Caenorhabditis elegans: one gene and its partner. The protein of the gene in region 1 purifies or fractionates together with the protein of each later gene. This does not show direct contact. Each region holds a gene or a part of one and is shown on either strand. Other genes may lie near its edges.

Region 1 (3,671 bases):
AAAATTCGAAATTTTTGTGGTTTGATCTACATGTCATCAAGCAGTTTTCGAGGTCATCAAGCAGTTTTCGAGACTTACGCCATAGTTTCTATTGGTTGCACGTCCAGAGCATACCAAGCAATGCATAATGTCAAACTCAAATTGTAGTTTTTTTTCAAAACTGGAAAAAAAACTAAAAAAAGTGAGTAAACGTGAAAAGTTTTTTTTTTTTCAAAATGAAGAATTTGAAGCACAAGCGAGATCACATTCAGTCATCACCCAGACAGAAAAGTATATGGCACGAGTATGAAATATCTTAAAAATAAATGAATTACGTATGTATTTTGGATCAGAAAGTTCAAAAAATGTTCTCTATTCATAAAGTTGATATATAGTTTGATCCAAAAAAATTTTCTCGTCATAAGTTAGAATTGGAAAACCTTAAGATTCGCACCATCTCTTATACCTAATTTTAGAAACACAAACAATTCTTAATTTTTTTTATTAATAAAAACCAGTAAACGTTTGAAAAACAGACAAAAAAAATTCATTATGACAATGTATGAGAGAAAATATCTTGCATTAGCCGTTTAAAATTAAATTTTGGATTATAACATTGCACCATCATGCTCAAAAAGCTCATGTTATTCACAGATTTGTTAACTATTCCAAAAACTGATAGAAGCTCTGTGAACCGAGTTGGTGCAGATTTTGAATATTTCAGCTGGCAATAACGGAACAAGGCAGAGCAGTAAACCTGTTGGTGGGATGATAGAATGAGTTTTGTCTTGTGGGAGAAGTTATTGGTTATTGCTGTAAATTAAAGATTATGAAATGTGAAAACTAGTTAAATGATATTTTCAAAAAAAAAACAATTTCTAAAACTGAAACTTACATGCATTGCAAAACATGACCAATAATAGCAGCAGATACTCTTCTTGTCTGATTTCCAATTCGATAAACTTGGCGATGACTTGCCCCGACACTTGATTCAGAACAGCTGTAGAACTTCCACAAAGATTATACATTTCAGATGGAAAAATATCAACATCGTTTGGAAATGTTAACTTTGGTTTGTTTTCACTGTATGCACACATGGCAAGTGCTAAGCACCCTGCTCGCGAGACATTATACTTGAACAGTGTATTCTTGTCGCTGGAATCTAGTTCTCGAATAAAGTTGAAATCTAGAAAATAAGATATTCGAGAGTATGCCAGCATATTCGACCATTGGTCGACGTCGTTGAGTGTCTCGGGTGTCTGAAAATATATATGTTACTCAAGCTTAGGCATTGGGATTCTTTTCTAGTTAGATCCGCTCTATTTCTTCTGCTAATCTGAAATAAAACTTATCGAAAAATGAGCAACTAACCCTTCTCACAAGTTTCATAATACTTCTATCCTCTATAATATCCTTCAAGCTCGGATCCTCCAACGAATAGAAATCAATAAAATTTGAATAGTTTTTATCATTTTTCACAATCAAATCATTCAATAATTTGTCAAAATTGTAATCTTCGTAGTTGCCAATACTAACTATTCTATCATTCTTGGAAGCTGCTTTCATGCCAATGTTCAAGCATTTTTGGAATCGACAAGCACGGCACTTCGGGTGAGTTTTGTAGTGGATAGTGCAATTTTTAAAGTATTTGCAATTGAATAACATATTTTTGAAAACAGTTCTACGGAAGAACATTTTGCAGGCAAAACACGACATTACCTGGAATGAGAAGTTTTGAGGTTTTTTAGCATAATGTTTACTTACTCCATAGTTTCTATTGAATGCACGTGCTGAGCATACCAAGCAATTCATAAAGCCAAACTCCAGTTACGGAACTTAATAATTTTTATATGGGGTAAGTTAATCAATATTTCAAAAAATGCAACAGGTATTTCTGGAAAAAAAGATTCACAAGTTTTGATTAACGCATGCAAAAACGAAATGGTTTAAAGATAAGTTATGGGATGCAAGATTGACACATCATGTTCAGAGAGTTTAAATCTAGATTATTTTTCAGCAAAACTTATGTGTAGAGTGAGATAACTATATAATAGAAGAATTATAGAGTTGGAGAAAATAAAGCTTTTCTTAACACTGGAGATGACAAAAATAAGAAAAAGTGTAAATAAGAGAATCACTTTCAAATATTAATGCTAGATGTTCAGTTGTAAATCACAAATAGGTGCGTACTTTGTTCAAAAGCTGGATTTAGCCAAAACTTAGAATTAATCAGGCGTCAAGTAGACGCTTACTTGGTTTGACTTTGTGGTCTCAGATGCCTGCTCTTTTTATTAGCCAATATATGTTAAAACAATGGACGAATATAAGGCCTGACAGTTTTTTTAACAAAAAAGTAAGCAATTTTATATTATTATGGAATAAAACATTATAATAATGAATTAGAAAAAAGATCTTGCATAATCCGTTTAAATTGAAATTTCGGCTCACAAAATTGTAGCATCATGCTCAAATTGTTCATATTGTCCACCGATTTGTTGACAATTCCAAAAAGTGATAAAAGTTCCGTGAACCGAGTTGGTGCAGATTTTGAATAATTTATCTGGCAATAACGGAACAAAGCAGAGCAAAAAGCTTGTTGGTGGGAAGATAAAGCGAGTTTCGTTTTGTCAGAGAAGTCATTCGATATTGCTGTAAAAGTAAGATTAAGGAATGTGAAAACTTGTTAAATGGTATTTTTCAAAAAAAAATTCGAACATTTCAAAACCGGAAACTTACATGGATTGCAAAACATGACCAATATAAGAAGTAAGTACTCCTCATCTTTGATTTTCAATTCAACAAACTTGGCGATCACTTGTCCCGACACTTGATTCAGAACAGCTGTAGAACTTCCACAAAGATTATACATTTCAGATGGAAAAGCATCAACATCGTTTGGAAATGTTAACTTCGGTTTGTTTTCATTGAATGCGCACTTGGCAAGTGCTAGGCACCCAGCTCGCGAGATATTATACTTGAAAAGTGTATTTTTGTCACTGGAATCTAGATCTCGAATAAAGTTGAAATCTAGAAAATATGATATTCGAGAATATGCCATCATAATTGACCATTGGTCGACGTCGTTGAGTGTCTTGGGTGTCTAGAAGTATATTTTATTTGAAGGTATAGTTGTGAAAAATTGTTATTTTTTTCTAAATTGTTCTGTGTTTTCAATATTCGCAACAAAAATCAATTTGGCTTAACCATTTTCACATTCCCGCCCAAATTTATTCATTATTTGTCAAATTCGCACATACTTATGAAAAATGTTTTAAAAATAAAAGATACATTTTCGGTTTTCAAACCAATTTAAGAGTTTCAGTAAGTTTCTTTTGGGCTAAAACTTATAAAATTTTTCTTTGATACCTTTTTTCAAAAATATTTTTTCTATTTTTCAGAAATTGTTCCGCAAGAAACAGAAGTGTCGATTTTTGGTAAATTGTGAAGTATCAAGTATCAAAAAAAAATATTCCCACCCAGAAAACGAAAAAACTAAGAAACTAGGAATTCATAATTTTAGTTTTTTTCCAAAATAGTTTTTTTTTATTTTATTGTAAAATTCACTGTAAAAGTAATTGACATTAAAGTATACTTTAAAAAAAAAAACTCACCCTCTTCACAAGTTTCATAATACCTCTATCCTTTAAAATATCCGCCAAGCTCGGGTCCTCCAATGAATAGAAATTGACAAA
Region 2 (4,490 bases), on another chromosome or scaffold:
AAAGTATCTTACTGAAAGAAATTATATTATCAAATAAATACATTAGTCATTCAAAATATAATACTTTTTTACTGTAAAAAACGACCACTTTAAATCATTTGATTCATTCTCCAGTAACTCAAAAAAAACATTCAAAAAATTCGACAAACATTTTACTTATTTAACATTTTTAATGGACTTGATTAAACAATTTCACTAATTTTTTGAAAGGCTGTCTTGAAAGATATAAAAATGTCTCCATGTCTATGAAACTTCATAAAATAAACATTTGACCTGAATATGCATAAAAATTATTTGTAGTGGACTATTGAGAAGAAGTCCTTTCAAATGAAATACGTTTCGTTCAGAAAATAACTGAACGCATTGCAAAAAATCAAAACTTATGACGTTTTTTTCTCAAGGAACAATAGAATTGTAAAATGAAATGTTTCAAAAAGTAAAATAATTGGAAAAAAAAATCAATTTGAAAGCAATCTTCCAATTTTTATCAATGTCGACTATTGCCTGATAAGATAACAAACATCATATTCCAATTAATATTTTATTATTATCAACATTATAAGTGCACTGCTGCAAAAATGTAACCTTTGGTATGCTGAAGGGTGAACTTAAAAAAGATAAATAAATGAAGTGGTTGAGTTACATTTCGCGTATTCCGGCATGATGACAGTACATAATAACATTCCAATTATACAGGCAAGTCACATCTTCCTTGGTTATTCTATCGATTGAAGTACCCGATGGATCACACATTCGCAAGCAACGAGATCCAACCTAAGTTTTTATTATCATTAGTTGACATAAACGGGTTTCCATGATACGGCGCCCCACGCAGCCAACACTATCTGGGTTCCGCGCCGCGCTAATTTGCCATAGTTTTCAAATGAGTATACCTCAAGTTAGGAAATTTTGAAAGAAAAGTTGAACTGATTAACTGTTGCCCAATATGTGATCTACATCTTAACACACATGTTTCAACGTTTCAAAACATTAAAGTCAAGAGATACAACGCCCGACACCTTGCGAGCTCATTTTTGTCAATTCTTTTTGGAACATCTGTAACTTGAGACTGAGAAGTTTTCATAGGAGCAGTTTTCTTAATAACCTGAACCAGTGAGGCAAAACAGTGTTTTGAGAAGCGCATATACAACCTTACATGTATATTTTACCGGTTTTTGAGATATAACCAATTAATTACACACCATAGAAAACTCTTTCCAAAAAAATCTTCCAAGTTATTTATATACCTGAAGTTGAGGGGCATTGAGATCTAAATCCAAGCAGCATTTCCTATTATCTCTGTTCTGGCTGGCACAGTACAAAATTGACGACAGGTGTTTAATTCGGCACTGGCTATCTTTCCGCATGTTGGTCAGCTGCAAAAAGTTTGTTTTTGGAAATATAAAAGAGGTACTCACAACACAATTGTTTTATTGTCATTTATAACGTTAGGCAACTTACTATTTTGAATTTACTTTGGACACTTACCATATTTCTAGTAACCGACTGATCAGTTTCGTACACACACATGTGATGGCATTCTTCTGGAACATACAATTGACAGCACGACAAAAAGAGTTTGTTCGCAATTCCCTTGGAAGTGCATGGTTGATAGTTTACCTCCGATGTTCCACATTTGCCCTTAATTATCAAACAATTGTTTTGGAACAGTACTAATGGAAATCATGTATTTTTTTAACCTCAGAGCTGAAATATTAGGAGCCCAAATGCTGCTGCCGAGATGCTAGAGCTCGAGCCCAAATGCTCGAGCTTAAGATAATTAGCTTGGGCTCAAACAATTATATCAGTACAAAATAAAACTGACCAACGGTTTTCTCGGAGCAGAGCGGCGATCATTTCCAACTTTTCTGGAAAAAACTGCAATTTTTCTGTCTGGACAGTTTGACATTATGTATTTATAACATTGTCGGGGAAGTCGACATCCTGGGGTGATAGGTGCTGTGCAGCAAGCCCCTGAAAACCAATGTTTTTTGTACGCATGTATTAACATAGAGCAAAGCTGATATATATATATATATATATATATATATATATATATATATATATATATATATATATATATATATATATATGTGTAGAATATGGCGAATCGGGTTAAAACCGGACAACGGGACGCGTTTTATACCCAATTCGTCCAATTTGCTAGCCCTGTTGTAGACTCACTAAGAAATGTTGTATTTTTTTCCATTCCAGATATATTATGGGAACTTGAGTGAACGGGCCTTAATTTTGAGTTATTGTAAAGGTTAAGCACGACATTTGGTACATTTTCAAAACCTATTTCAATGTTGCTAAAATGACTAATAAAACGTTTCAAACGATTTTTGAAAATGTTTTATTTCAAGTCAAAAAGCGATAAAAACTCACTAGTCAATTTTCATGATTTTGTTTTTACAACAATTGATTTTAAGAGATTTTTGCGCAATCAATTTTATACCTAAACGTTTACTTCGTTCAGGTTACCTTTTTTCACAGCCGGACATTTTTTTTCGGACGATACAAACTGAGTAAGAAACAAGACAAGCAATGAAGACGATAGAAGACGCATTCTGATACCAAGAGCTGCAAGATTTACAAGTTGTGTCAATTGAAAAATAATCTTGAAAATAGGTTATAAAAAATGTTTGAAATTTACATCTTTTGACCATTCAAAATGATTTAGTCAAAAAATGTTCTAATTTTTCAGAGAATCTGGGCTTAAAGGTGGAGTAGCGCCAGTGGGAAAATTACTTTAAGGCATGCCTATGGTAACACAATGACCAAATATCATAGTAAAAAAAATTTAAAAAATTAGTCTAAATTTTATATGATTTTTTGAAAGTTGAAAAAAACCCGAATTACATCAAATTCCCATTTGAATTACCGCCAATAGTTCAATGTTCGATGGAGTGTGCTTGAAATATACATTTTTTTAAATAAATTTTTCTCATTTTTGACAGATTTTTGATGTTTTTCGTGTAATCTAAGTAGAAATTTAGTGAAAAATTCAACACAAATGTATATTGTGCATTGAAAACAATTGAAAAACAAAGAAAGAACGTATTCCAACGACGTCGAGCCTGAAACAATCAATTGCACAGGTTTACGCTTCACTGTCCTCTTTTTGATAAAGAATTTACATTTATCTTGAATTTTTCACTAAATTTTCACTAAAATTACACGAAAAAAAAAATTAAAATTCAGACATAAATGAGAAAAATTGATAAAAATATGGCAAGCGCACTCCATTGAACATCGAACTATTGGCGGCAATTCAAGTGGGAATTTGATGCAATTCGAGATTTTTTCAACTTTCAAAAAATCATATAAAAATTTAGCAAAAATTAAAAAAAAATTTTTTTTACTATGATATTTGGTCATTGGGGTACCATAGGCATGTTTTAAAACAATTTCCCCGCTGGCACTAGTCCAACTTTGAGGATAATAAGCACCATCAATACAGTTCCCGAATGTTTGCCAATTTAAAACGTTCTGAAAACTTCAAATGTATAAGAAACGACTTTTGGCGCAATTTTTCAGATTTCGGTAGTTGGGGAAAATGTGCTGAACTTTTTTCAAGTTGAAATTAAAATTTTTGAAGTAGGAGCTTTACAGCTAAAAGTGTTTTGCGTAAGCTCGTTTAAACAAAATAATCTGATGGGCATACGTCTTGTTTTGAAACTTTGAACGAAAAAATTCCGTTTCCTTGTACAAATTGACAAACCCTATTTTTTAAAAATTCGTTTTTTTTTCAAATTTAAAGTAACAAGAATAAAGAACATCAAATACAAAAACAAAAGTAGGTGTTGGATAGCAAACAATAATTAAGAAGTGAAAAAAGAAAGAGAGAGAGAGAGAGAATTCAATCTGTTCATTGAGTAACAGTCAAGAAACGGAAAATTAGGGCAAACGGCGCATCAAACGGTTGCGGGTAAATTAATGTTCACGAAATCGGCGGAAAAAGACACAGGAAAAGAGGCCATGTATTACCCTTTTCCACTTTTCTGTTCCAAGCAACAAATTACATTTCTCGATCAAAGAGAATCGCGAGAACTAGTGAGAAGCCAAATGAAGAATAAATATAGTTTTTTGTAGCATTCACAGGAGAGTTCAAAACTAATTGGTTTGAATGAATTGTCGATTGTACGGGAGGAAAATTTTTTGCGAATTTTTTCATCCCAAAAAAAAAAGGAAAAAAAACACGCCCAGAAAAAACAAACAAACATTTTTGTCGCAGTCACCGAGGACCTAATTTTTGAATTCCAATTTCAACAGGCATATGACTGCACTTTTTTGCAAAAAAAAAATTTGGATTTTTTGGGGAATTGATATGGTAAAAAATTGCTAATTTTTTTTAATATCAGGGGTACATTTCTGGAACCTAGATATTCCATCCCAGCCGCGCTACAGGGGTTTTTGTCTTGAATTCCAATTTCAACAAGCATATGACTGCACTTTTTTGCAAAAAAAATTTTTGGATTTTTGGGGGA

What was found.
Region 2: the proteins of nhr-268 (region 1) and dbd-18 fractionate together in Caenorhabditis elegans (co-fractionation; one large-scale study listed by BioGRID). This does not show direct contact.

The regions. Positions count from the first base shown.
Region 1 is NC_003283.11:15,688,454-15,692,124, reverse strand, and holds nhr-268 (Nuclear hormone receptor family member nhr-268), read right to left. Parts: upstream 1,874-3,671; 5' UTR 1,792-1,873; coding exon 1,744-1,791; intron 1,699-1,743; coding exon 1,351-1,698; intron 1,239-1,350; coding exon 875-1,238; intron 793-874; coding exon 530-792; 3' UTR 519-529; downstream 1-518. Other genes in the region: Nuclear hormone receptor family member nhr-197, read right to left, coding at 2,366-2,628, 2,716-3,079, 3,591-3,671. UniProt on the Caenorhabditis elegans protein: Orphan nuclear receptor.
Region 2 is NC_003284.9:295,327-299,816, reverse strand, and holds dbd-18 (DB domain-containing protein), read right to left. Parts: upstream 2,584-4,490; 5' UTR 2,570-2,583; coding exon 2,485-2,569; intron 1,975-2,484; coding exon 1,826-1,974; intron 1,642-1,825; coding exon 1,489-1,641; intron 1,377-1,488; coding exon 1,248-1,376; intron 775-1,247; coding exon 640-774; 3' UTR 530-639; downstream 1-529.